Linked DNA regions of Mytilus edulis. The protein of the gene in region 3 binds, or shares a complex with, the protein of the main gene of each other region. Links are inferred from orthologs where the notes say so. Each region holds a gene or a part of one and is shown on either strand. Other genes may lie near its edges.

Region 1 (7,806 bases), on a different chromosome or scaffold from region 3:
TTGATTTATATTTTGTTATGGGTTTCAAGAGAGTTGGCTCATGAATAGCATACATGTAACTGTCAATCCCTTGTAGAAAACAAAAAGAATGGATTAAACATACATGTATATATGCACAATCTGTTAATCTGACAGATTATCAGCTTCCAATAGTATTAAATGTTTTGGGGAATTCCAGATTCTATTTTTAGAAAACTGATGTCATCAAGCACAAGGTGACCTACATATTACATGTACAACTGGATACATTTTGTAATTGAAAGTCTCCAATATGGGGAACATAAATAAACACATAAAACAAAGATTGTTGGAACATTGCTGTTCACAATTGAAGTATATTAAGGGCTGGGGCAAACATTACAGAAACATGAGCAGAAAACAATGCACCAAAAATTTGTGAGTTGTTTTTCCCAATGATGATATTCTATTTAAAATCAATGGAAAAATCACTTGAATCATCAAAAGAGGGATACACATGTAGCTACTTGTAAGGAAACTATTCCCCTTTTGACAGGTACAAAATGTAGCCTCCTTACATGTATGTAACATATGTTGCTCAATCTCTAATTTTCTGTGTCAAGTGTTTGATCATATTTGTTGTCAGCTGCCTTTCATTCACTACTTGGGATTATTCATGGAATCAGTACTTACTTTTATGGTGTGGACCAGTTGCAGATTCAAAGACAAACAACAATGACACACAAGTTAATATATTTTGTGATTGATCTCTGGGTGTCTCAAGATGAAAGAACAATATCCTGTCTTTATAAAGTGCATTCTTGATTGATTTTGAGTGAAGATATTCCCCTTGGCCATTTTGGAGGGGTAAATGGTTGATTTTCATATCAACATGTATGATTAACCGAAAGATGATGAGGTACTTATGTTCAAACAAGTCTGATAATAAACACAAGAAATTAAAATTGATCAGAAAACACCTTTTATTTCCCCTAGCGGTCAGTTTATGGAATCGATTTGGCTGATTTTTGAAGGAATTTGTCTATGAACATCTCCAAAATCATCAGCAACAAAAGGGAAGTAACTCTAGCTCAAATTGTGTCAATAAAAACAACGGTAAAATAGAACTGCAAACCAATCTAATAAATGATACTTACAACAGTGTTGATTTGGATTTCTTGCAAGTTGGGTCATCTTCATCACAACTTTCTCCACCAGAGCTACTCTCTGTTACATCAGAATCACAACAACTCTGTGCATGATGAATACTGTTCGACAACAGTCCAGATACTCTGATAGATTCTTCTGCTGTAAGCTTATCGATCGTCAAAACACCAGTTGGTCCACTGTCTGACTTAGAGTTGAGGTAACGCTGACTCAGCGATAAAGACGACTGACTGGACTGTAGTCTTCTTACTAAATTCACAAGAGCTGCTGTTGATAAACTTTTTACATCATCACTGTTGAACAATTCAGTCTTAATTTCATTTAAATTATTTGATGTTGAACTCTTTATTGATTTTGCAACTGTCTGTAGGTTTTTATGCTGATATCCAACGAAATTTCGGAGTTGTGAATGCAAGTGCGATTCAACCCCTTTACTTTGTAGTCGTCGTAAGCGTCTTAATAAATGTTCGGTTCTGCGTTCTAAAGTATGTTGCTTCTTTTTAACCTCCTCTTTCAAATTTGAATCAATAGGACTTTGAATGTCAGTGTCCATGTTAGGCACTTCTGTAGTGCTAACAGCATCCACTTCAGAACTGGAAGCTACCATTTTGTCTAATGTTTTAAATTTATGTTCAGAATCAGCAAAATTATTTTCTTCACCCAATGGTATCTTACTGTCGACAACTTTAATTGTAGAATCAAATTTTAGTCCGTTATCACTCTTTAATTTTGTTTCAATATCTTCATTGCCATTTATAACATGATTTGTTTGGTTCATGTTTTCACAAGCAATCAATGAATGTTTGCCGTTGAGAAACGGTTTAGGTAGATTTTCTTTTGTTGTAATTGTGTTGTCTGATTCTTCAAACTTGAATTTGATTTCTTGACAACCAATGCTTTGGAATAACCCTTGCTGTTGCAACTTTTTAAGCTCTCCAATGGTAACATGGGACGTCAGCCCACTGATGGGCTTTGCTCTATGTGGCTGATTATTCTTTCCGTTTGGAATACCACCAATGGATGGCACATGTAACTCTGGATTCACTGGTGGGGAAGATGGAGATATTTTGATACAGGACTGAGTGGCTGCCTCAGTTAGCGCAGGTGCCATAACGGCCATGCAACATACTCTCAAAGAGAGAGGCACAGACATGCACGATGGTTTGGCTGACGTAACATCATAGATATTGCAGAATCTCACCTGTAAGCATGTAATTATAGTGTTGTCAACTTTAGTGTACAGAAAGTACGATCGAGTGACACCTCAGACGCAAGCCCGACGCGCCCGTTTGTCCTTAAACTTGGTTCGAAGCACGTGACTATTTTCAACCCCAAGTACTTCTCTGTGAAAATCAAAACAATGTTAAAACAAAGCAATGTCAATAGGTCACCTGTATCGAATGGCTATGCAATGACATTTATCTAGGAACTGTCACATAAGACAAATCTAAACGATGAATAAATGTCTAATATTTCTTCAATATTATCAACATAAATCGTAACACACAAACCACGTGATTCCTCCACGTCCTTTATGCACACATGCATGAATTTTAATGTCCGACCATTTTTCCGTTGCAAAATCGTACCTTTTTCGAGCTCATTTTTTCCAATAGTTATGAGCAATTGGTAGATAATAAATTAAGGAACAATTTGATATAAAGCACCTAAAAGATCACGTTACCATTCCTGAGAAATATGAGGTTTTATAGTCCGCCCATTGATTGTTTTAAACCACAGTAATGGCGTACACTTTACACAAGGGCCATCACACAACAAAAATGCGGGCTAACTAGCCTCGATTCTATTTACAATTACGCATATCCCCCTCTCAGCTCTATTTTGTGATTGGTCGAAACTCTGTCGGGTGATGAGTAAATTCAGTTTACGCACTCCTTACAATATGCCTGTTCTTGACACTATATTTTAACAACTTAAGCATTGAAATGTTTTTTATTTAGAATTAAATGTGTTAAATGTATATTTTCATAAGTTGAAATTAATTTTACTTTGCTTGATTTGAATAATGCTAATGGAATTAGTTTTGTAGGACGTGAGAACAATCTGTCGGTTAACTTCTTGGAACAGCTATCGAATTTTACGTCAATACAACCTTCCGTGTTTTGTGTATTATGCCAATGATATTGCACGACAAAACCCATGAAATTATAACTTAATTATAAAAATATTTGAGAAAACTGATTAGTATTAAATATTAAACATGGAAAGAAATTATGCATTTTAAAGTCAGCTTTCAGCTGATAAAAAATACATCAAAATTTACCAATTATAGTTATCCCAACTGTGCAAATCTATGCAGACTGGTCAGAAAAAGACTTGATCCGAAGAAAAAAAAATGTTGGAAATGTAAAAACAACGGAACAATGATCGACAAAAGATTTTAATCAATAAAAACAACCCTGACAAGTTACTCGCTAATCCTAAATCAACTTCAATGAACTAGGCGGACACCAAATATAGATCAGTATAGACTCACCCCTCCCCCCCCCCCAAACCCTAAAAAAAGACCAACCCAACATCAACAACAACCAAACAAAACATAACAAATACAAATAACAACAGCAAAAAAAAACGAATACAAAGATGAATAAATGTATATATATAAGTATATATACACAAATATGTAATAATATGGGCTTGACTTCTGGCCGTTAATTTCTATCCTAAAAAAAACACATAAAAAGCATATGTTTCAATGTTCCTTAGAAGCAAATAAACCATCAATTTGACCCTGACCGTATTTTTGTTGAGACATACAATAAGACTTTCCACTGAAAACTCAGTTGGGTATAACCAATGCCATAAGATCTGTTCTTGAGGGAATTCTATAACCCTTATTCAGTTAGGAACAATTAAATACTGTAAAATGTGTCCCAATGGAAATGACATTAAAGAACAATTTTTCCATTTGGAACTTATATTTCACGACAAGACTACGCCTGCAAGGCATCCGTTCAGTATATATCAACCATATATAGTCCATTCTTTATGCAATTGCCAAATAACATAGGCACTTGGGGCAGGACAAGCGTCGGCCAGTCCCATTTTTCAAAATCCGTTATTTTTATTTTGTATTTCACTAAATTATTTTCTTGGTTTTTTTTTTCTTATAGAAATTTATATTATCAGTGACTATATAGGCTACTGTGGATAGTTGAATAGCAATTGATAGTATGCCGTAACCGGCAGTGTTTCCAGAGAGGCCCAGTACCCCAGTTATGAACTTTATGAAATCACTAAAGCATGACTGGAGCGGGTCCCCTCTTAATTAAGCAGTCAATGCCCCCTTTATGAACCCCTCCCCTTTCTGAAAATTTCTGGATCCGTCTCTGGTTTACAGTATTTTCATGTAAGATATATCCGCAGAACCACCGTGATAATAATTGAAAATTAAAGATAAGAAAACAATTATAACGGATAAAAAAAAGGAGGGCAAAAAAAGTCTTGTTCAAGTACCTACGGGAAATCACAATTAATGACTTGCATGACGTCTTGTTTCATTGTATACTTTTTCACTATTTTGGTCTTTTTGGAAAATGACTATTTATTATGTTGTTTGTGCTGTTTTTATACCCCTTTATAACCAAAATGAATGTGATTGCATGCAAACGTATAAAAAATGCTGTTTTCATCCAACGCACTAGGTTTGAACGTTGTTTTCAATTTAGGCTTTGTTTCTGAATCATAATTCTAAAAATGTATATAATTCATAATAAAACATCGTTTACACCAAGACAAGTTAATTCCATTAAAAAAAAATCCAATTGCTAAAAACTTGGACTTTATTCAAACTAGATATATAATAGTCCCTGAGAATAGTCCGGGACTCCCAGTTACGAAGTTGGAGACTAGAAAGGGAAACAAGGTACACATACAGTTATATTAAAATTAGGAGCTTTTTAAATTTTATATTTGTTCTCTAGCTATGACAGTATACATCTTATGTCAAACTTTATTAGCAAAAATTCAAATTGACATAACACTCCGAAAACTGCTGAAAATCTCGCTGAAAATAAAGTAACTAAATTCAAAATGTAACAGTCTGAAAGCTATACTTCACATAAATATACTGTTAAGTAATATTAATCTGGATATAGATTTTTGTAAAAATGTTGAAACACTATACATTTGGAAATATATGCATAAGGTGGCGACAGCGTCGTTCGCTTCACATAATAAAGATGGTCTTTCGAAATACATGTTCCGCTTGACACGTGGAGCTAACGAAACGTGATCGTGAGTCATCGATATCTTTAGTAAATTCTTGTATAAGGGGACATAACTCTAACTAAACTTATGAACGGAATAAAACATTGAAAAGTCCACGAACCTATATGTAATGAAGATCATATATAATTATGGTGTAGTTAAGGGTTGTTAATTGTCTTTTTTGGGGTTTTTTTTCGGGGGGGGGTTCACATTGCCGATATTCTCAAAACAAATATATTGAATATAATCATATTTAATTGATGTACCCACTTTCCCTCGAATACTAGTGTAGAACATTGATTTATTTTGTTAAAAAAATATAGATAACTTCAAAAACCTCATATTTTTCTTTTGCTTTACTGTAAGTATTTCAAAGGGCCTAATTTTTCTCTTATTTTATTTTGAAATTCTGTTGACATGACTATTCTCTTGTCTTTATGTATAATCTCTACGAGGCGCCGTTTTACTATTTATTCACTATTTTCTGATATCAAAATTTTTTTTTTATCAGAAAATCCTTTTTTTTTTATATCAGAAAATAGTCTTCATTTTTTTTTTATATATACAAAAAAAAAATTAGAATATTTGATATCAGGAATTCGATTTTTTTATATCAAAAATTCTAATTTTTGATATCAGAAAATAGTGAATAAATAGTAAAACGGCGCCTCTGATAAATCTCTATATAATATGTTATTTTGCGCTATACCTGTATCTCTAAAACACAGTCGCATAGTAAAGCAAAGGAAAAGAATACGAGCATGAAATTGTGCACTGATAAATAAAGGAATTGCCGAAATTTATGCAATATATCATATCGTCGACCCACGCTGCAAAACTTGCGTCGATATATAAATGTCAATAAAATACATGTTTCTTTCACAATTATGACTGCATTATGTCGATTATTTGCACGTGTTCTCCTTTATCTATTTACTTTGTCATTTTGTGCGCATGTAGTCAGTTATGTTCATGTGCAAAGTTGAAACTACATTTTCCGTCATTTTTTACACCAAGTAAATTATATTGCCTTTATATTGCCTTTATATAATAGGAAACAAATTGTTTGAACTGATGATTTTAGGACCCATGTGATCATTTTAGAAAGTATAGAAACGTGAAGTGAGAGTACTAATCTCTAAATACGTCAGTCAACAAACTCTTCATAAAGGGTTCCATAGACGGCCTGTGGAAAACTGTTTTCATATACATATATTTCGACCTGTTAGTCAAATGCGTTTTGTTTAAATATACTTTTACATTTTTTTGGTCTTTTGGAAAATGTTGTTTGTGCTGTTTTTAGACCCTTCTACAACGAAATTTGTTTTACAGGCACACGTATAAAAGTTGCGGTTTTTATCCAACGCAATCATAGATTTGAACATAGTTTTCAATTTAGACTCGTTTATATTTTTTCGTTTGGGCTTGTATCATATTTTCCCTCCGGTTTATATGATCCGTTCATCCTATATTGACTCTTAAAATTCAAAAGTTTATCTAAAAATGAGGGTACATTTTATATGGCCTTCCAAATACCGTTTCGATCCTAAACCTCACTGAAGAGACATTTATTGTCGAAATCCGGATCTGGTGTACTAAAAAATATTGACACCGTATGTTTGTGGCATAACATCGTGGCCACAAGTTAAAAAAAAAAATTTCTGTTTAGTATTAAATTTACAGTAAGATCCATTTTGTTACATCTTGTGATCAATTTTATTTGGCAATCGCCAATGGCAGTCAGCAGGGTTAAAGAACATCAGTTGTTCGACCTGTTAGTCAAATGCGTTTTGTTTAAATATACTTTTTCACTTTTTTGGTCTTTTGGAAAATGTTGTTTGTTCTGTTTTTAGACCCTTCTACAACGAAATTTGTTTTACATGCACTCGTATAAAAAATCCAAAAACCGCAATATTGTACACCCGGTACAATATCGTATTTAGTCAGTCAACACAGCTGAAAACGACACCAATTATCCCGGCTTGGCAAAGTTCTTACTCAGGAAGAAGAAGTCGACCCAAAAGCAATTAAATATGCCAAGTTTTTTCGAAATGTCTCTAAATTTTGCAACTCCCCTCTCCTTAAAAAATCGAAAATGATACTCTATGAAAAAATAGAGGGGAGTTTCAAAATTCGGAAAAAAATGTTGCCGTACGCACTAGACTTCTAGATGGATAACTACTAAAATGTTGCCGTACGCACTAGTTAGACTTCTAGATGGATAACTACTAAAATGTTGCTGTATTCAATGCATAAGCCTCAAGGGTTTGTCCTATAGTCTGACTTAATCCTTTGAAATCCCGTGTCAGGCGTGGCTTTGTCGATCCGAATCAATCCGATATCTTATAAAGGTCGAGTGCCACACTCTCTGCATGTAAAATAACCCTAACAGCGTCCGTTGATGGCCTTATGCAAGTAAAAGTTTACGTCTTCACAATATATCCTTCACTT
Region 2 (6,867 bases), on a different chromosome or scaffold from region 3:
GATAAGAAATTAATTTCAGAGAATAGGTTGATGGCCTGAAAGCTTAATTTCATTACTTTTATCATTAATTTAATAATTTAGTACTTTTGATAAACTGATTTGAAGAATAAGATCAAAACTTTCATTTCTTTGCTATTACACTCTACTGCTTTGGTATATATCCAGCATGTGATTGCACCTTTTATAGATATTCTCATCTTGTTAAATGAACTCTTTAAGTATGTCTCTTAAAGTGTTGAATAAGCTTGACATCTTTATTATTCAGTATCAAAACTCTATTGATATGAATAAAGAATTATACCAATTATAAGGGAGATAATTCAGGATTGCAATTAAAAATAATTTTGCCCAAAAAAAATTGACTCTTATTGACTTATTCCTGTCTTTCTTTAATGTGACTTATTGATTATTTTATTACTTTTTGCTGTGCTAGAACATTAATTTCAGATTGAAAATTGCTAGAACTTATTTTTTTATGTGAGTCTGTTAAGCATGTTACATGGTATCTTTTTTTATTCTTTTTTCGAAGTAAATGAAGATTGTTGACAAGAAGCTTTTAGAAAATGACTCAAATAAATATGAACAGTTGTTTTTCCATTGTAATAAAAATGAAGTCTGTACTATATATTTCATGTTGTTTGTTTCCTCTACTAGTAATGAACGAATTGGTTTCTGGCTGAATGTGTCATGCATAATAATGAAAGTTATACATTTTAGCAATAATATCTTTAATATATTGTTTAATATGTGATTAATTCAACTATTAATATTATCATGATTTTGTAAAGATGTATGTGAATACAAAACAAAATAAAATAAATCAGAAAATAAACCTAATTTTGATGTAGATTGTAGTTAGTTGTATTTTTGTATTTGTTCCCTTCAAAATCTAAAAAGTTGAAAGATTTTCATTTCTTCAAAATATTTGATAGCATTACAGAAAGTCTGGTAATCTCACAAAGAATCAAAGTTGAACTTCAGTTACACTACAGAATTCGTATTACTGAATATAAAAGATTTAGGGTACATGTGTTTAAGACATCAACTCAATATGAATAAAAAGTAAATCACAGGTCTATGAGAGGTCCTCAATGAGCAACAGTTGTTGATACCAGATATCAAACTCTAATTATTACCCTGTTTTCCATATAACCAAGTGTCCCTTTTATTTCCTTGATCAAGTTAGTGGTCATTCTGTTGGTAGCTACATTTTGTGTGGTATAATTAAATATCATGGTCTAAATAGACAAATGGTGAGGTTTATGGGCATGTAAAACTGACTTTACTACACCACTCCGGTATTATAATACCTATATCATAGATCTGTCGTTCATTGTTTGTCTTAGTTTGTATGTCTTCTTTCTCAATAGAGTCTGTTATTGATGGTACCGTAGGGCATGGTAAAGGTGTCCAATACTTTTGTGATTCCTGGTTTCCTTTTTATGTGTTAAGAAACAGTTAGGTGCTAATAGAATTTCAAGAATATTCTGCTTCATGACCAGCTACACAACTTTTTTAGAAGCTAATTGTATGTGTTTCAATATTTTTTGCTATAAAACTGCAACAACCAGATATGGTATAAATTAACCAGGGTCTTCAATCTATTGGCTATCAAGTAAGTTTTGTAAATTGAAACCATAATGAGGCTTATATTTTGTATCAATATATATAATATTTCCAACACTCAAAATCAAGGCAACACATCACGATTAATTGTATCTGATCAGCCTAAATAGTGTTAAATTATAAAAAAAAACAACATACAAATATATGACCGATGATATTACATAAAAGCTAGCATGGTTTTAGCATTAATTCCTGGTCATTGTGACAGAAACAAAATTTACAGTTTGGACAGGTCTGCACTATCTCCAGGCCTTTCATGTATTAGAAAAAGTGTGGTTATTTTTCTAAAGAAAACATGAAAACACGGGGCCTTTTATAGCTGACTATGCGGTATGGGCTTTGCTCATTGTTGAAGGCCGTACGGTGACCTATAGTTATTAATGTCTGTGTCATTTTGGTCTTTTGTGGATAGTTGTCTCATTGGCAATCATACCACATCTTCTTTTTTATATGATACATATTATGCTTGTGTGGTTGAATTTAAAAAGTTATTTGTTCAAGAAATCCACTGTAATCGGGTCAGAAAATATACAGTGTTTGTGCAAGTTGATTACAAAAGGATATAAAATGTAATCAAGCTTAATGCATGCGTTACAAAGTTGTAAAGTTAAGCTTTTGTTGTTGTTTAGTTTTCTATTAAACACATCACTACTTGACCCTAATATTTTTTGCACTTCTCGTTGGGTTAAAAGTAAAAAATGACAGAAGTGATCAACAGGACAAGTTCTATCTAACCTGGGCATTCTGTATTTGATATTGATGCTGTCATATTAATTTCTACCTATTTTCCCATTTTTTATCTGAAAAAATACAGGAACTAGTTTAAAATTTTAAATGGCAAAAGTGATCATAAAAAAATATACAGGAACTAGTTTAAAAATATAAATAGCAAAGTAAATCAGCAAGACAAAAAGACCATGCAAGTCCAATTTTAAAGGTCTCCACTAGCTTTCAACCAAGTTAGCTATACAGGCTATCCTCTTGTTATGATAATGGTCCAATAAAGAACCAAGATGCATTAGATGTGAGCCAAAATTTGTTCCTGTGAAAAAAGTTCTAGTGGAACTTATATCACAGGAAATATGTTCTGGGAGAACTTTTTTTTCACAGATGATTTCTATATAATTTGTTACATCTCTATAAAATAAGTTCCAAGTAGATGAAATTGTTCCTTATCTAGTAAAATAAATTCTGGGTTTGAGATATTTGTTCCTTACCTGGTGAAATAAGTTCTAGGTTTGTGAGATTTGTTCCTCACTTGGTGAAATAAGTTCCTTGTCTGTGAAATATGTTCCACTGGTTAAACAAGTTATCTTGTACACATTGTAATGAGCATTTGTCATCAGTGAGTTGAAATTTATCATTCAAGTATATTATAAAAAAAATGTATTATATTGATATATATGTAATCAGAAGTCCAGTACTAGTCTATGAATGGACTTTTAATGTAATAAATAAAAAGTGTAAACATCCAATTTGGATCCTGTGGAGTATAGCAAATTTTTAATAATATATTTACTCCATAAAAAATACCAAAATGACACTTATGAGCCAGAAAAGAGCAGAATTAGAATAAAAAGTATAGTTAATGATGAACATTTATACTAATTTGAAAAGGACAAAGTGACTGATCAATTATATTGAAAGACATAAAGAAACAAAAGTCTCAATCTCTTGAAACTGTGCCATGACCTAAGTACATGTATGAAAAGAACAACCATGACTGTTAACGGGAAAAATAGAGGAATGCCACATAAAACATGAATAAAAATTATGATACATAAATGAAGGCAACAGTAGTATACCGCTGTTCGAAATTCATAAATTGATAAAGAAAAAAACAAATCCGGGTTACAAACTAAAACTGAGTGAAATGTATCAAAAATATAAGAGAATAACGACACAACAGAAACACAACATTACAATGTAACTCACACAGGAACGAACTATGACATAACAATGGCTATTTTCCTGACCTGGTACAGGGCATTTTAAGAAAAAAAAAGATGGGTTGAAGCTAGTTTTGTGGCATGCCAAACCTCCCGCTTTAATGGCAATGTTAATTATAACATTAAAATGACATTACATGACGATAACCATCACTTTTTATTTCTTATCTTCATCATATAGTTTCATTAATGCCTTCATTAGGTTTTTTTTTTTTTTTTTTTTTATCTTTTTATCACACGAAGCTGTGGATTCCGGGAAAAAATTATATCCATTCCGTAATCGTAACACATTTAGAAATTTGACCTTCACCTTTTTATTTTGGCGTGGAATGCTAAATTTTATTTTGTCGATATATTTAGTATGAATGCTACATAAGACAGCATTCCCAATTATTTGTAAGTAACTGAATGACGGCAGTGTTGTCGCCGTCAAAAATTTGATCCTGATATATAAAAGGTCGCTGTTTTCTATGACGAAACCATCTCAAAACATTTTAAATTGAACATCACAACAATCAACATCATATAATTTACTTTATTAGTGTGGGTTCATGGTCTAGTGGTTAAGACCGATTCCTACAGTGCTTGAAGGTCACGAGATCGATACTGACTCGGGGTGCTAGATATTTCAGTACATTACAAGGGTGATTTTCACCCTCCAACACATTTCTCTGGTACCTAGACCATTAAACTAGAATGTGTACTTTGGACGCCTAGGCTGGTCAAAGTTGTCCCCTACTTTGACCTGGAGATCAATCCTCTGATATCTCTTAGGTTGTCTGTTTCTGCCCAGTGGTCTGGTGGTTCTCTCCTATTACTCCAGCTTCCTCCCCCATATAAAAGACTTCCCAGTGTCCTAGCACTCCTTTTGTGTTGGGTGAGGATTCAATTTGATTGTCCTTGTAAAAATAATTATCGTAAAGATATGATAGTCAATCATAATTTCAAAATAATTAGGAATATGATATGATATGAAGGCGTCACAGAATTTTTTAAAAATAGCCTTTCAAGACGTCATAAGTATTCTTATTTGCTGTATTATATGTATATACGATGGTCTCTATTATTAGAGAATGAAAATAGTGGCGGTCTTGACATAAATAAAAGTTCTGATCTAGCCTCTGTTATATACTGGTCAGTTAATTATAAAATTATTGATATCATAAAATTCACAAATTGTTCCTGACTGATATAAATTATAATAACTATATAAAGTAAACTTTATAATTAGTATTTAGCACTTATCTGCCCCAAACAAGAATACTTTTGTTCAGTTCTGGATCCAATACCGCAGAATCAGAAGCTTGATTTTGATTTTTTGTTTCAGATCATTTTTCAGTAGAGGTATAAGTTTTGCTTAAAATGGATATTTACCAACCAGACAGAGGCAGTACAGTATCCATGGACCATTGTTATTCCAAGCCATGGAGTGCTCATCCTGATGCCAGTAATGCCAGACCTATCAAAAAGTTATATATGCCAAAGCTACCACATCTTACACAAATGCACGTACAAAACAGGTAACAGTTATGATAAAATAAACTCAATTGCAAGCTGACGGTTGTTATCCTTATATTAATGGATCTTTGATAAAATGTGAGGTACTGCTAGCTGGTTCATTCATGTAAATAAATTGTTGAAATTGTTTTTATGCCCCACCTACAATATGCCCACCTACGATAGTAGAGGGTCATTATGTTTTCTGGTCTGTGGCTCCGTTCGTGCGTCAGTTCGTCTGTACGTCCGTTCAGGTTAGAGTTTTTGGTCAAGGTAGTTTTTGATGAAACTGAAGTCCAATCAACTTGAAACTTAGTACACTTGTTGCTTATGATATGATCTATCTAATTTTAAAGCCAAAATAGACTTTTGACCCCATTTTCACGGTCCACTGTACATAGAAAATGAAAGGGGGAGTTTCAGGTTAAAGTTTTTGGTCAAGGTAGTTTTTGATGAAACTGAATTCTAATCAACTTGAAACTTTGTACACTTGTTGCTTATGATATGATCTGTCTAATTTTAAAGCCAAATTAGACTTTTGACCCCAATTTCACGGTCCACTGAACAAAGATAATGAAAGGGGGAGTTTCAGGTTAAATTTTTTGGTCAAGGTAGTTTTTGATAAAGCTGAATTCCAATGAACTTGAAACTTAGTAGACTTGTTGCTTATGATATGATCTTTCAAATTTTAAAGCCAAATTAGACTTGTGACCCCAATTTCACGGTTCACTAAACATAGAAAATGAAAGTGGGAGTTTCAGGTTAAAGTTTTTGGTCAAGGTAGTTTTTGATGAAATTGAAGTCCAGTCAACTTGAAACTTAGTACATATGTTCCCTATAGTATAATCTTTCTAATTTTAATGCCAAATTAGATTATTACCCAATTTTTACAGTCCATGGATCATGGAAAAGGATAGTGCAAGTGGGGCATCCATGTACTTTGGACACATTCTTGTTTTTATTATGTGCATAAGGAAGAATTAAAATGTAAGTGAGAAAAGTTGCACCTACATGTATTAAAAAAAGATCCTTTGAATTAAAAACTTACAAAATTGTTGAATGTATTTTGATGAATGAAAGTATCAATAATATTGACAGCATGAGAGAAAATAACAACAGAGGAGACCTATAGTCTTTTATATTCTTGTCCTTCAGTCTTCTGATAGAAAGTTGCCTCATAGTGACTTATATCACACTTTCTTTTTTAGACAAGCAGACATAAATTTGCAAACACAATATGACATAACTCACACGCATCAACTATAATACCACCTATGCAAAAACAAACAACAAAAAAACAACACACCAACAAACAAACAGGAAAGATAGGGGAAGAGAAAGTGATGATTAAAGAAAAACTTCTTCAAATGTGTTGGATCAATATGTGCTTGAAATTTGATAGAACATTTTAACAGTTGTTACTTTTATAAACATAGATGTAGGAAGATGTGGTGTGAGTGCCAATGAGACAACTTTCCATCCAAATAACAATTTATAAAAGTAAACCATTATAGGTCAAAGTACGGCCTTCAACACAGTGCCTTGGCTCACACCAAGCAACAAGCTATAAAGGGCCCTGAAATTACTAGTGTTAAATCATTCAAACGGGAAAACGAACAGTCTAATGTTTGCTTTGTATTTTAGGGAAGCAGAAATAGATGTTTGTACAGTAACTGAGCCCAGCAAGCCACCATATGATACAGCTAAAGCCCGGAGTCTAATGCAGGAGTGTGGACGACATGTACCCCTAATGAGAACAGAAGAAAGCCCAGAGGACTGGGAAGAAAGAATTTCA
Region 3 (7,768 bases):
CAATCTACAAGTGGCCTGTTGTAAGGCACAATATCTGTGGCCCATCATGACATACATCTGACATTTTACAGTATCAGTTGAGATTCTGGTCCTTACATCCCTTTTTTACAGAACCTACCTATTGCATTAATTGTATTTTTTTTTCTCATCCTGAATATGTATGAAATATTTGCTGCTGAACTCAATTGTCAATCAAATATTTTGTTGAAGGCTGTACAGCAACCTAAAGTTGCTTATATCCAAGTTATTTTAGTAGACTCTTGTATCATAGTCCATCAAACCTAAAGGACATTAAGCTCCTGTTTATTTTACAATGCACAGGAAAGTAATAAGTTTTCAACAAAGTATGCTGACATCAGCAACTATTACTACTGGGTTGGTTATATGAAAGAAAAACCAACTTTTTCTTCTGGAAAGATTGTGACTTGTTCTTTTTTTGTCTATGGTATCTCACCAAATACTGGGATCATATGGAGTTAACATGGCCATGCACTAAATCTACATGCACCTAATACTCCACATGTTTATTGCAACATGCTTATATGGGGCACAGCAGTGACAAACAGGTTATAGTCTCAGAGATTTTATACACAACAAGTAATTTGACAAAAGCTTCCTTAATGTGCTTGATAGCTTGGTCCTTGTTATTAAGTAAGTGTAATGATATAATACAACTAAAATTGACATATTCATGGATATAAATTAATTAAAGTAGACAATGAAAGGCAGATTTATAATATGGAAGTCCTCTTTCCTGATCTAAATAGTATACTTTTTGGCTTTCAGAATTAAGTGTTCCTGGTTTGATTAGTTACCGTAAATTAATCTTGTTATTGTAATTACAGCGAAATGCATTGAGGGTGTAGTAAAAGGTAATATCTTTGGCTAGCTTGCTTGCTAGCTGAACCGTGAATTCATGATTAAGGAATGTATACTACCACCCTTTCGGAGTAGTATAGTCCTACAGACAGGTCGATCGGTTATCTGTCGGACTAGTCTACACTAAAAGGAGGGTAGTCTACCTAATATAATAATGACTTCACGGTTCAGTTACCAAGCAAGCTAGTCAAAGTTACATTAAAGTATATATAAAAAAAACAATTCTGAGACGAGTGCCTAGCTGTGTAATAGACTCATATGTTTCTGTAACAGTTTAAATAACCCTGCATATTAACCTTAATAGTTCTGGTTGAAACCTCTTGATTGCACGACTCTTGACCTCAGTAGTATGTTAGATGCTTGACATAGACATCATTTACATAGCATTTAGATTCACGTGCATAATGGAAAACTGAAACATTCATATGAAGAAAAATTAATGTAAACGGGGATTCTGTTACAAATTAAACTAGATGGAAGAAAAGTAGTTACTTTTTTTATTTGTTAAGCTTTCTCATTTTTTTCATATCTTGATTATACATACTAGCACTCAAGTTTTACAAGATTATATTGCTTATATAATTTTAATTTTTTTTTAAATAATTAAAGTTTAGAATTGTGTATGCCATATGCGTGTTCCGTCTACATACGACTCGTCAGTGGAACGTTTGGAAAGCCTTATCAAATACGAAGTTGACGAGCATTTACAACCGATTGTAGTGAGTAAGTAGGTAAAGGTAATATCTTTGGTTAGCTTGCTTGCTAGCTGAACCGTGAAGTTATTCTTTATTATTGATTTATGAAAAGCAAGTCGCCTTTCAATAATATTTTTTACCCCAAACTGAGTTCAATATTGATATAAAAAGAAGATGTGGTTTGATTACCAAATGAGACAAATCTTCACAAGAAACTAAATCATACAGAAATTAACAACTCTAGATCGCCGTACGACCTTCAACAATGAGCAAAGTCCATACCGCACAGTCAACTATAAAATGCCCGAAATAACACATGTTTAAAGTTTAAACACAATTCAAACGAGAAAACTAACGGCCAAAATGATGTTCGAAAAACAAATGTTTCACAGCAACTAACGTTAACCACTAAATCACAGGCTCCTGACTTAGGTTAGGCACAAACATACATAATGTGATTGGGCTAAACGTGCTAGCGGGTCCCCAACCGTCCCCTAATCTGGACAGTGGTGTTACAGTTCAACATCAAGAACGAACTATAAAACTCAGTCGAAAAAGGGTCAACCCGTCAGATGGATACACATAGAAATACAGCTAACAAAACAATGATAAGACCTGGCCGGCGACTAATCCCTTGTCACATCCCAACAACACTTAGACACTACTAGTACAGATGAGAGTACTCGCAGTTACGGGTAGTTATTTAATTCAAAGTCAATAACAACTAAGAAATCATGCATCTAGGCCAACATTTTCAATCATTACACATCCAACATCCAATGGATTTAGTGTAAGACGTTATAAAGTAAACATTCAGAGAAATATATGACCTTGTGCAATGCCAAGATGCAAGTATCGACAGATTGTCGATGCATGAATGTGCATATGAGAAAATATCTGAAAAAGTCTAATTTTTGGCAATAAAAAAAGACACAAAAAAATATCTTTATACCCGGTATTTTAATAGCACGAATCGAAGAACACACATTGAGGATTTAGGAACTGTTGGCCGTAACTCAAACAATTGTTTAATGTGGAAACAATGGCAATTTTAAAAATGGTACAAAAAAAAATCCAGTTCTTTTCTGTTACCAAAGTGAATCAATTTAAAAAAGCTTCTAATGGGACTTAGGAATAAGTTTAATACACTATTTGTGGTTTACTAGTATATCCTGCAATAGTTTATCAAATGCCAATTATTTTTTTTAGCATTTGCAATACGAAAGGTTTAGAAATATGCCGTAAAATATAGTCAGATATGTCGGTAACATGAAAGAATCTTGAGTAACAGAACAACGGTAACAGGACAGAGTTGGTAACAGAAAGAATTTTTTCTCTCAAAAAAATGCTTTATTTTATAGTTTATGAAAAATACATCATTTCAGAGTGGTCACAATTGAAAGATAACAGCAAACATTGTCATTTATCCTTTGAAACTGTATTTGCAAGATGAAAAATCTGCCTAGGTAATGAAAAATTCTAAAATAAATTCCTTCCTGTTACTATCTACTATACTAGAATTGCACAATGTTCTCTGCTGTTATCAAAAGCAAAAAAAAAATTTCATTCAATATACTGTATATCATATAACTTTATTTAATATGGTGATGACAACTTATATAAAATGAAATGGTTGGTATATATAGAAGATTAACTTTTTGATTCATCAGTGAAATTGTCTTGAACATCCTTCCTGTTACTGATCATGGTTATGCTGTTACTTTTTATCAAGTAACATGACAGAACGTAACATTACGGAATTACACACTACTTAAAAGTGTTGTTCATTTACTCGAATTGTGTAGAAGTTTACTTCCATCTACATATCAATTAATTTGATAAGATACTATAGTATAAAAACACATGTACTGTTATAGTGCTGACAATGAAATATACAAAAAGGCTGTAACAGGAGAGAACAACAAAACTATTTTTTCTCCAAATTCTAATCTTATGGGAGTTAAGATTTTCACTGCTATTCACCTATACATATGAAGTCATACATTCAGGAAATGATGCTCTTCACATTCACTCTTGCATTAAAAGAAATAAAATTTTGGTCTTTCAAACGTGTCCACCCAGAGGTAACAGAAAAGAAATTTCCCCTGTGGACAACATTGAAAATGCAAAATTTTCTAAATGCTTTAGTTATAACAAAATCAGGCCAGTAATGGAGAAGTGTTTTATATAATCTATCAGATTTGTGAAATTCGGAAGGCTGTTTATTTAATTTAGATATTCTTTAAATGATTTAATTTTCAGAAAATAACAGGGGACACCATGATTTTTTTTTTTGGGGGGGGGACCCTTTAAACTATTTTTTTTTTACTACAAGAATGTTTAATTTGGTCCAGTTGGCGCATTATATACTCTAGTAAAAACTGAAACTTAAAATTTTCCAAAAAGATGCCTGAATAAAAAAAATAATTGCTGGTGAAATTAGACTTTTTAGATAATGTCTCATATGTATTTAGTTGTGATTTTAGTTTACTGATAACAAAAACAATGTTAATACAAATAAAACAATATTTATAAAAGATCCAATCACAGTGTTGAATTAGTAAAATTTTAGAATAAGTTAGTTGAAAGGATTGCCATGATAAGTATTAATACCAGGATCGTTTCTAAATGTTCAGTTGGGCACTATAATCAACATCTCCGCAAAAATGAGGATGAGCTATCTCGTTTGAAATAAGTTTTCTACAGGTGCAACAAAACGTCTATGGAAGAATTTTAAATAATAAAGGTTTTAAGTAATCATGCAGTGGTAACGAAATCATCATAAAGTGAATCAGAAACATAATTTTAGATTTTAGACTATAGGCCTAATAGGTAATTCAGAGTAAAACGGAGTAACAAAGTGAATAACTTTTGATATCTTCCGTGTAATTATATAAGTTTATCTTCTTTTAGATATGCGTTTTATATTGTAAAATACCAAATTGATTTTAGCTTTTTTCGCCGGACCGTACAAATATAACCCACTGTGAAAAATCAAGATGTGTTCTTGTGAGCCAAAAAAAGTGATCTGTGAAAATGTGTCCACCCCGGCGGACATTTTTTCACAGTAAAGGTGTATTTATATGTGTCCGATGCTGTGAACAAGTGTCCATTTATACATAGATTCCGTGAACATAATTTTCTGTGAAAAAATGTCCGATGGACAAAATTTCATGGCGGACAATATTTAATTCTTACACTCCCCTGGAGGAAGTTACATAGCGAAAAATCACTGACAATAATTATCCAGGACTATGAAATTTCTTAGTGAAAAAGCATGAACGTTTAAAGTAGGAAAATAAGTTTGCGGATGTGTTATAAATTGTTAATTATAAATGTTTTAGTGGAATTTTTTTATTTACCCTTGGTTGCCTCAAAAAACAAGGCGACCAATCAAATGAGTTGTTTTAGGTATGTGATCAAATGACCTTGACTTCGGGCTAGCGAGGCATTGACGTCATCAGAATAAAAATTTCCAGTTTGAGCTGACGAGACCAAGAATATATACTTCATATGTTGTGGTCATTATTTATATTTAAAAATTTGATGACTGTGAAAGGAATATACAATTATTGACTTGCAGTGATTAATATACAGTCATTGAATATTCACCAAACCAAGAATCTTATAAAACTTTTACCAAGACGTTAACGGACAAAGACGATCGCCATTTTTTGTCAGGATGAAGGAAATTGCCACAATGGCACAGTTTACCGTGTCTGATGTCACAGGTAGTTTGAAAGCCTAATTTTATATATATATACCAATTGCATGCATAACAAACATGAATGGTTGCAAGAGCAATGTACACAAAAAGTAAATAACTAATGCAGCAAAGTAACTCCTCCACCTTTTTTAGTTGTTGCATGTATTTTGTCATAATTTTGGCATGGCAAATGGTTTAAAGTTGTCAAAGGTGATGTCTTACACATAATTGTGTGCTGGCAAGGCTTTATTATTTATTATATTGACTTAAGTTGACTAGAATCAGTAAGCACACAGCTATAATAAATCAAGTGCTGAACAATTCAACATGTATGAAATACTTTCCACTGGACGTTGAGTAACCAAAAAATAAATACCAATTTCTGAAATAAATAACAAACTCGATATGCTTACCTTTTATATGTAAAAACCCATGATCCAGTATTTAAAGGAAAGTAATTATTTTGGCCTTCGGTTACTTGAATCAGAGTTGTTTTAGCACAAACACTTTTTCTTTCCATGGGAATTTGACTATCCATATATATAGTAGAATGTGGCTAAATATTTTTTAGCTCATGACCATCTCCACTTCCGGTGCTTTTTGTACCCTTTTATATGAATCTATTCAATGAACATTTTCCTAGTACTTTCTCTGTGTACTTCTTTCATGGTATTTTAACTATTATTCACTAAACAATGAAGAAAACTTGAACTCCAATCAGTTCTTACTTTTCCGTATCATGTATTTTAGAGCTACATTGTACATAAAGGTTATGGTTGGATTAGAATAATGGTTACATTGTAGTTTTAGTAAATAAATGCCACCTCTTTGGTTAAACTTTTCTATTTAACTATAATGTGATTGCCAAGTTCAAGATTATTTAATCAGCACTTTTTGTCACACTCTGTGAACATGCATAAAATATTTGTCAGTGTACATTTAGCAACCAACAATCAATCTTTCTTTATGTCATGTCTGATATATAAAATAATTTATTTATTTTCAGGTTTAGCTGAATTAGCTCACAGAGAATATCAGGCTGGTAATTATGAGAATGCAGAACAGCTGTGTATGCAGTTATGGAGACAAGAACCAGACAACACAGGAGTCCTTTTGTTACTTAGTTCTACACATTTCCAGTGTAGAAGACTGGACAGGTAAGTTCAGAAGAAAACTAGGCTCATAATAGATTTAACTAGTACACAAGTATTCAACTGTTTTTGTATCATCTGTGTTTAACACTCTGTGTCATCAAATTTAGACTGCAGTTCATGGAAATACATTGTACAGTGATTTTACCAGCGCCCATTTAACAGTTTATGACTTTTCTAATTTTAGAAGTAAACACAACTGGAAGGTCTTCAACAGTGACTTAGAGTTATCAACTTCTGTGTACATGAAAAATTTGTTATATAATTGTAAAACTTACTTATATACATTTCAGATCGGCTTACTTCAGTCAGCTTGCCATTAAACAGAACCCAATGTTAGCAGAGGCATATTCTAACCTTGGTAATGTTTACAAAGAGAGGGGACAACTACAGGAGGCTTTGGAGAACTACAGACATGCTGTTAGACTGAAGCCTGATTTTATTGATGGATATATTAACTTGGCAGCAGCCCTCGTAGCTGCTGGAGACTTGGAACAGGCAGTACAAGCTTATGTCACAGCATTACAATATAATCCAGTATGTATGATTTATATTCTTCACATACATCATCAAACAATTTATATTGGCATATATATATATATATATATATATATGTATAAGGTATTAATTTTTGATATGGTTGTTATAATATAATATAATGTAAAATGGACTTGAATAGTATTTGTGTGACTGTCAGTCTCAGTACTAAAACAAGATATCAATAGTATGTTGTTTTCTTGTAAATGCAATGAGATGTGTGTGTATGTCAATGATACAATAACCCAACAAAAATAAGTGTGTGAAAGGTTTGACAGGTAAGTTCCAGAACTAAATTTCTGCTATTGAGGTTGAATTGAGGATTCTCAAAGTTCAAAGTATTTAGTTATTTTTTTTGTGTTTAAATACATGTTTACTGATGCATGTCAGAGTAGAAACAAATGCTATTATATTAATGTTAAGATAGTTCATTATTTGTTTATTGAAAGTATAAGTGAACAAGAAATGGGACGAAATCACCTAGAAGTTGTTTTGAATACAAAAGATTTAATTGTTAACTATACATTTGAACTTGTGTTTTACAGGATTTATATTGTGTGAGAAGTGACCTTGGAAATCTACTAAAGGCATTAGGAAGACTAGATGAGGCTAAGGTAGGAGATCTTATAAATGTAGCAAACAAGTTGGGTCAAGATAAACATTTTCCCTTAATTGTATGAACTTTATTATAGTTGTTAATCTCAGCATTATGAGAATTAGAAGGATAAAAAGGCTTCTGTTCAGATGTTTCATGGTTTTGTACTTCCCTTAAAAGACAGCATAGATGCAGAATCATAAAA
Region 4 (7,705 bases), on a different chromosome or scaffold from region 3:
CAATATTATGCTTAAAGATAAAAAAAATATATATCTTTTTGTCTCAACAATGAATCAACCAAAATATACTGTAATTGGTAGATTTTCGCAGGCACATACATAAAAATTGCTGCGGGGTTAAAACTTTTAATCAATACCTCTGCATGTACACTTTTGATTTGGCGGGATTTATTTTGGCGAATTTGTTCTATCTGCGAAAATAAGCGAAAATTTATACCCCATGAAAATGACCAGCTATACAGTTCATGTATGTAGAAATAAGAAGATGTGGTTTCAGTTCCAATGAGAAAACTCTCCATCCAAGTCACAATGTCTGTAATAAGTAAACAATGATAGGTCAAATTAGGGCCTTCAAAACAGAATCTTGACTCACACCAAACAGCAAGCTATACAGGCATGACAGAGTGTAAAGCAATTCAGACTCATTAAGAGTGTTTTTATTAACTCATAAATGGTAATCATATCCATAATATATGTTTATTTATTGTTAAATCTGTGTTCTCCCAATGAATATCATAAAGTATCTGGTATATCATTGGAAATTGGAATTCCCTATGAATATCATAAACATGATAAAGTATCTGGTATATCATTGGAAATTGGAATTCCCAATGAATATCATAAAGTATCTGGTATATCATTGGAAATTGGAATTCCCAATGAATATCATAAAGTATCTGGTATATCATTGGAAATTGGAATTAAATACCATGTATCTCATCAAATGACAAAGGCTTTGAAGTGATGTAGGTGAAGCTGTAATAACACCATTTAGTTATTACAGGGATACTTTTTTTCTGTATCTACATGTATCTAATGAAATAAAAGTTTAGTATACAGAGACGATAATAAGATAAATAGAACTTGTATACAATTTAACAAAAACAAAGTACATGTACATCTGACAGTGTACATAAACTAGAGGCTCTCAAGAGCCTGTGTCGCTCACCTTGGTCTATGTGCATATTAAACAATGGACACAGATAAATTCATGACAAAATTGTGTTTTAGTGATGGTGATGTGTTTGTAGATCTTTCTTTACTGAACATTCTTGTTGCTACAATTATCTCCATCTATAAAGAAATTGGCACAGTAATTACAGTTGAAAATATTTTCTAAAAATTTACAAAAATTTATGAAAATTGTTAAAAATTGACTATAAAGGGCAATAACTCCTTAAGGGGTCTATTGACAATTTTGGTCATGTTGTCTTATTTGTAGATCTTATTTTGCTGAACATTATTGCTGTTAACAGTTTATCTCTATCTATAATAATATTCAAGATAATAACCAAAATCTGCAAAATTTCCTTCAAATTACAAAAATGTACTAACTTGGGGGCATCAACCCAACACATTTTGTCCGATTTGTCTGAAAAATTCAAGGCAGATAGATCTTAACCTAATGGACAATTTTAACCAGTCTGATTTGCTTTAAATGTTTTTTGGTTTCAGAGATATAAGCCAAAATCTACATTTTACCCCTATGTTCTATTTTTAGCCATGGTGGCCATCTTGGTTGGTTGGCTGGGTCATGCAACACATTTTTAAAACTAGATACCTTAATGATGATTGTGGCCAAGTTAAGTTACATTTGGCCTAGTAGTTTCAGAGAAGGTTTTTGTAAAAGATTACAATTTATGAAAAATTGGTAAAAAATGACTATAAAGGGCAATAACTCCTTAAGGGGTCAACTGATCATTTTGGTTATGTTGACTTATTTGTAGATTTTACTTTGCTGAACATTATTGGTGTTTACAGTTTATCTCTGTCTATAAAAGTATTCAAGATAATAACCAAAAAGGACAAAATTTCTTTGTATGTTATTTTTCTCTCATTACTTATCTAAGTTATACCCTTGACAAATTAAAGCTATACATTTGTACTACATTGTACTAGGTAAGTAAAATCAATTGAATTATACCTAAAATGAAAACTCCTGTCTTCAAATTCATGTTCTTCTTGTCTAAACCCGTCTTCTCTGTAGAGTTGATTTGTTGAGAATCCAACCCCAGAAAGCTGACAAACAGGCAAGTCATCAGTCCAGCTCAATGCATGACTCTGAAAAATATAAAACAGAAACATTTGACAAACAGGCAAGTCATCAGTTCAGCTCAATGCATGACTCTGAAAAACATACAACAGAAAAGCTGACAAACAGGCAAGTCATCAGTCCAGCTCAAAGCATGACTCTGAAAAACATAAAACAGAAAAGCTGACAAGCAGGCAAGTCATCAGTTAGCAATTTTTCCATAAGTAAAGGGTCATAATTCTAGAATGGTAACAGTAACACCATAAAAATTCATACTTGATCTGTGTTTTGTGGTACAAATGTAATAAGCATTGTCTATAAGTTGCATAACATTTGGTTGAGGCAAACTCAAACTTGTGTAAGTTGGAGAATGGAAACAAAAAAATTAACAAGTTTTACGTTTTTAAAGGACTTAAAAGGGGCATGTCTCTAGAACGGTAAAAGTGACACCCCAAATTACATACTTGATCTGTGTTTTGTAGTATTAAGCATTAGGTATAAGTGTTATTCGGTCATACATTTACATGTTACCCCATGTTTTAATATATTGCTAAAGTGTGCCCTCCCCTACATTGGAGTCATTTTGAAATATTCCAAAAGGACCCTTTTAAAAAATATTTAGGTGGCAAGTTTACCAGCTGCAGATTCTTAACTTGGTACCGAAGTGGCTGGAATTCGTGTTGGGATGGCTAAGGAAAGGAAAGAGTCAGAGCCAGAGGCAGAACCCCTACCAGAGCCCTTCCTCTTCCTCATGTACACTTTGACATACACATAGATCAAATTTCCATAATCTTTGATTATTATAAAAGTAAAACCGTACCCCTAATCTAGGAGGAGACCCTACAGATCCGTTTGCAAGTCTAGTTGCAGCCATATCCCGTTAAATTTGGCAATGAAAATGAATTTCTACATTTTTTTAAGAACGGAAGTTGTTATCATTCGGATTCTTTCCACAGGTGTTGCAAAAACCTAAAGCATTGCCCCGATATCAAATTACTGTTAAAAACCGATAGATAAAATTTAGCAAGGTAATATCACCACGACCTTCAATGAGTATCGAAGGCTCCGCTAAGACTGTCGCTGTCAGTGTCTTTTTGTTCATTTAACTGACAGGTTCAGCGTTAAGAAATGTACTTAAATCATAATTTAAAAAATCTAGAATTTTGAATTGAGAGACAAAACAAGACAAGACAATATTTTATTGGCATAAACGCATTTACAATAAATGGTAATGCCGACCGAATGGATAAACAATTTGCAAAACATGGTAGTAAAATACAAACAATTGTCTGAAAGATTGTGTAACAATACCGATAAATAGATGGAAAACAAAACACTAAAAAGTGTTGAATATCATTGCACAAAGATGGAAAAACTGAACAGATGATATAAATTATACAATAATTGCAAATATTTCGGCTCAACAAATGGCCTTCTTCGGTGACAAAAGTTTTAACAATAATGAGATATAATGTATAAGGTGTAAACATAGATCACTAATAATACAGGTAAGTTTTGGTCGATTGATTTTAATCCAAAATCCTGAATATAATAATATTAACACTAGACTGTAAATTTAATTATTTCTTTCTATTGATTCCATCTGGATATATATATATATATGTGAATAAATGATTACAGGTATAATGAACATCTATTGCAATAGATTACTTCTAGCATTTAAACAATTTGTTACGAAAGACTGGGAAGATAATTTTAGTGCCGTATAAGATGTACGTATTATTAAGTATAAGATTTATTTTATTCTTATCGCACAATGGGGTTATGATTTTTTCCTGTAATTTTGAACATTTTTACAAAATACAAAAGTCTCTCTAATACTGGAGTAACCTCTGCAGTGTAGCAGCATGTGCTGTTCATTTTCAATTTCGCCACCGGTTTTTACAGATTTCACAAATTTTTTGATCTCTTGGCACTTTTAAATATCTTCCTCTTTCAATGGCAAGGTTATGAGCACGAACTCTTAATTTACACAATGATGATCGATCTGATCTATTTTTTAAAGCATCGACAAAACCTGCCCGTTCACTCATTTTGTAAACACTCTGGAAAAATGTTAATCAAATTTGGAGATGCTGAAATATTTGCATGTTGTTCCTGAAAACCCTGGTCAATTAGTCTTTGTTTTATAAAACCAAAAAGGGGTTTAATAATAAGGTTATCATTTGACAAATAGAACAGAACAGAACAGAACATATTTTATTTCCAATTAAGGGCCCACAAGGGGCATACAGAGCATACATGAATAAGGAAAAAGACTATTGATTTGCATAGATACATAGATACTAACAATTTTTTACATGCAGTTACAATACAATTACTAACTCATATTCACTTTAATAAATTTACCAACAGCATTAAGGACCTGACCTAAAATATGATAAACATAAGTTTTGAATAATAATATTAATCCTTTTAAGTAGGTTTGTGTAGCATTATATATTTGGTGAACTAAACTTCCTTCTGAAGTGATTAAATGGTCCCAGAATTTAATACTAGATAACATTATCCTATTTTTCAATGACAGTCTTGCAAGTTCGGAACGACATGCATCATTCGAGGCCTAACAATGTACTCCCAAGATTTCTTTAATAAATTTTATATGCAACTTTTCATAGGCATCACTGTCTTTAAATGTCGAAATAATCCCCCACATTTCGCTACAATAAAGGAAAATAGGGGCTACTAAGGAATCAAAAAGTTTTTCCAGAAGTTTACGAGGGTTATCTAATCCTATTGGTTTCTTTATTCTAAAATATGCCGCTTCCTTATTTTTTCCATAAGCGAAGTGATGGCGACATTAAACTGACTGCCATTAGGGGACGACCATTTGATATTCTGGGGGGGGGGGGGGAGGGGGGGGGGAGGAGGATTTTGAAAATGAATAACTCAGCCTTAATAATCACAAAAATAAATGGTTTGTTCTGTGGTAGTTTGAAAATAAATAACCTGACTTACAATGTATTGAAAATAAATAACTCAGCGGGTCTAATCGAAAGTATGAGATGGCATCAGATTCTTCATAAAATTTATCTTTTTTCCACACAAAAATCGGGAAACACTTCCCAAATCTTTTAACAATAAAAGTATAAATATTATCAAATATACTTGAAATGTCTGAAAATAGGTTTGATTTCACTTGAGGTATCTTTTCTCAGGAACACTTACCTCACTTTTATTACAGGGAAGTAACTTCATTGAGGCAAATAGGCTCATGTAGGAAATTTCAAAACCAAAAGCTTGTCTTCATATCAAATTGTTTTCACTGAAAGCTTCTTGCAAGAAGCAAGTTCTGTTCTCCTTGGACATGGCCCCTGTTTTTTTCAGGATCAATGTTTCTTATTTATTTGTCTTTTGTTCATTCTGTATTCTGTTAGTGTTGCATTCCTTTTGCAATTTAGTAATTTTGTTATTAACTTAATCATGAGTTAAAAAAAAAACCAGTCACATACTTAACTATAAGAATTACATGTTTGCCTTATCCTACATTTTGGTCTTTTAATGTAGTCCCTATACCAAGGACGTATAACTAACATACGTCCTTGCCTATACACACTTAATTCTTACACTGAATCTACACATTTTGCTTTGAGACCAAAATATTGTCAAAAAAGATTAAAGCAGAACTTGCATTTTCAGATTTAGAAAAGGTCTGGGATTAACACCCAGAAAGCATGACTTAGCATCATTTGTTCGGTAGCTTCTTGGGGCTTTCAGCAGCATCAAAACCCTTCCAAAAAATGTTTGCCTCGATCCGCTGGGCGAAATATGTTTGGCAATAATTAATAAAAAGGCAAGTGGCAGCAAAACTTTAATACTGTGTATGTATGAAATACATGTATACGCAGTTGGCAAGATTCATTCCTGCAGAGGATAATGGTTAATTCTAATTAAATTAATGACAATGATTATACATAATAGTTACATGTATTATTTGTAACATGTATAATAAAATTCATTTAAAAATTGTGTTTTTAAATATTATAAATATAGTTGTGAAAATGAATAATCAGTCCCTTGTTTTAATGAAACTGAAAAATCTTGCTTCAACAGTGAAGAAAATAAATAATCTGTCCTCTTAGTTTACAAAAATAAATAACCGATCCAAAACAAATCATCCTCTCCCCCGCCTCCCCCCCCCCCCCCCCGGCCAGAATATCATATATCTAATATTGATACCGAAGTAACAATAAGTACTAACTGTCTCTTTATTTTAATTTTTGGTAAAAATGGTAGTTTATATAACTATGCAGATGACAATACTTTGTCTTTTTGTACTCCAGACTTCGATTTATTAATTTCAACTTTGGAATCTGATTTAAAAATACTTATTGAGTGGTCCAGGGTGAATAAAATGCAAGCAAATCCTGACTTTTTTCAAGTTTTGGCTGTTGGCAAAAAGACCTTTGAAAAGAACCCATCTATACATATTCAAAATTCGAACCTCACTTGTGAAAAAACAGTAAAATTATTAGGCATTGAAATAGACTACCAGCTAAATTTTGATGTTCATATCAGCTCAATCTGTAGGAAGGCAATTAAATGTTTTAAAACGTTTAGACTCATTTTTGGATAGACTTAGTAAACCGTTACTATATTTCATACTTTTATTCTTAGTAATTTTAATTTTTGCCCTTTGGCATGGCATTTTTGCACTGAGAAAAATTCTAAAAAACTAGAAAAGGTGCAGGAAAGAGCACTCCGTTTTGTGTATGATGATTTAACAGCTCCTACGAGGACCTCTTACTTAAAGCTAAGGTGCCCTCCTTGCAGATCAGACGGATAAGAACAATGGCTCTAGAAACTTTTAAAATTATAAACAACATAGCTCTTGTGTGCTTACAAAATTTGGTGAATGTCAAAAAATCTAAATATGCTTTCAGGTATGTAAATATTCTTGAAATTCCACAGTCACCCCGTTACGGTAAAAAAATCGTTCAAATTTGCTGCTGCTACTTTATGGAACAGCCTTCCAAACCATCTCAGGACTGAAAACAGTTTTTTTTTTTTTCTATGGTCGGGTTGTTGTCTCTTTGACACATTCCCCATTTCCATTCTCAATTTTATTTCACATTTTAAAAGTCTTGTTCAGTCCTGGAACGGTTTGGAATGTCGCTGTTCTGCTTGCAGATAATTCTTGAGCTGTTTATTATGTAATGCTGCTTTTGGTTGCTCTGGTCAAGCATGTTGTTACTTCATTCGAAAATTTGTTGCTTATTTTTATTGCATGCTATGTATGTGAAATTTCAACTTTGTATTACAGGTTGTTTTAAATGTCAAAATGCACTGGTTTTATGTTATTTATATGTTTTTATATTCGGTCAAAAGCTCCTTAGAGCTTGTGTTGCTTATTTGTACTTATGCCGAATCAAAATAAAGTTTTCTTATCTTATTATCTTATCTTATCTCTAAGGGTTTGCCATTATAATGAAATTCGTTTAGAAAAAACTTTCCGTTTGAATCAAAAACCATTACTTTTGCTTTCTCTGTATTGACTTGTAATTTAAAAACCCACAGGCACTTGTCTCAGATTTATATAACACGTGTTATTATAAAAATGTAATTATAAGACGTATTGAATGCTTATTTTAGTAAGTTCATAGGTTAAAAGAGTTGACCGTGCGCGCATTTTTAGAATGCTTCTGCGCTTTA

Evidence for each region.
Region 1: UDP-N-acetylglucosamine--peptide N-acetylglucosaminyltransferase 110 kDa subunit-like (region 3) and KAT8 regulatory NSL complex subunit 1-like share a complex: the UniProt entries of both Homo sapiens proteins name them as parts of the NSL complex. The link is inferred for Mytilus edulis from reciprocal best matches to the Homo sapiens genes OGT and KANSL1.
Region 2: UDP-N-acetylglucosamine--peptide N-acetylglucosaminyltransferase 110 kDa subunit-like (region 3) and KAT8 regulatory NSL complex subunit 3-like share a complex: the UniProt entries of both Homo sapiens proteins name them as parts of the NSL complex. The link is inferred for Mytilus edulis from reciprocal best matches to the Homo sapiens genes OGT and KANSL3.
Region 4: the proteins of UDP-N-acetylglucosamine--peptide N-acetylglucosaminyltransferase 110 kDa subunit-like (region 3) and TGF-beta-activated kinase 1 and MAP3K7-binding protein 1-like are in contact, whole or in part, in a crystal structure (PDB 4AY6), measured with the Homo sapiens proteins. The link is inferred for Mytilus edulis from reciprocal best matches to the Homo sapiens genes OGT and TAB1. Residues at the interface, in NP_858058.1 of Homo sapiens: Asp441, His506, His508, His509, Asn567, His568, Pro569, Gly641, Tyr642, Thr643, Lys644, Ala646, Gln849, Phe878, Pro904, Val905, Ala906, Pro907; in NP_006107.1 of Homo sapiens: Pro389, Val390, Val392, Pro393, Tyr394, Ser396, Ala397, Gln398, Ser399.

What each region holds. Positions count from the first base shown.
Region 1 is NC_092345.1:6,818,100-6,825,905, reverse strand, and holds the start of KAT8 regulatory NSL complex subunit 1-like, read right to left. Parts: upstream 3,002-7,806; 5' UTR 2,279-3,001; coding exon 1,116-2,278; intron 1-1,115. UniProt on the Homo sapiens protein: Non-catalytic component of the NSL histone acetyltransferase complex, a multiprotein complex that mediates histone H4 acetylation at 'Lys-5'- and 'Lys-8' (H4K5ac and H4K8ac) at transcription start sites and promotes transcription initiation.
Region 2 is NC_092347.1:90,586,561-90,593,427, forward strand, and holds the start of KAT8 regulatory NSL complex subunit 3-like, read left to right. Parts: upstream 1-3,864; 5' UTR 3,865-3,971; intron 3,972-4,902; 5' UTR 4,903-4,937; coding exon 4,938-5,095; intron 5,096-6,716; coding exon 6,717-6,867. UniProt on the Homo sapiens protein: Non-catalytic component of the NSL histone acetyltransferase complex, a multiprotein complex that mediates histone H4 acetylation at 'Lys-5'- and 'Lys-8' (H4K5ac and H4K8ac) at transcription start sites and promotes transcription initiation.
Region 3 is NC_092351.1:28,979,660-28,987,427, forward strand, and holds the start of UDP-N-acetylglucosamine--peptide N-acetylglucosaminyltransferase 110 kDa subunit-like, read left to right. Parts: upstream 1-4,757; 5' UTR 4,758-5,256; coding exon 5,257-5,305; intron 5,306-6,286; coding exon 6,287-6,437; intron 6,438-6,724; coding exon 6,725-6,968; intron 6,969-7,513; coding exon 7,514-7,582; intron 7,583-7,768. UniProt on the Homo sapiens protein: Catalyzes the transfer of a single N-acetylglucosamine from UDP-GlcNAc to a serine or threonine residue in cytoplasmic and nuclear proteins resulting in their modification with a beta-linked N-acetylglucosamine (O-GlcNAc).
Region 4 is NC_092352.1:76,407,046-76,414,750, reverse strand, and holds the start of TGF-beta-activated kinase 1 and MAP3K7-binding protein 1-like, read right to left. Parts: upstream 3,004-7,705; 5' UTR 2,907-3,003; coding exon 2,853-2,906; intron 2,062-2,852; coding exon 1,925-2,061; intron 1-1,924. UniProt on the Homo sapiens protein: Key adapter protein that plays an essential role in JNK and NF-kappa-B activation and proinflammatory cytokines production in response to stimulation with TLRs and cytokines.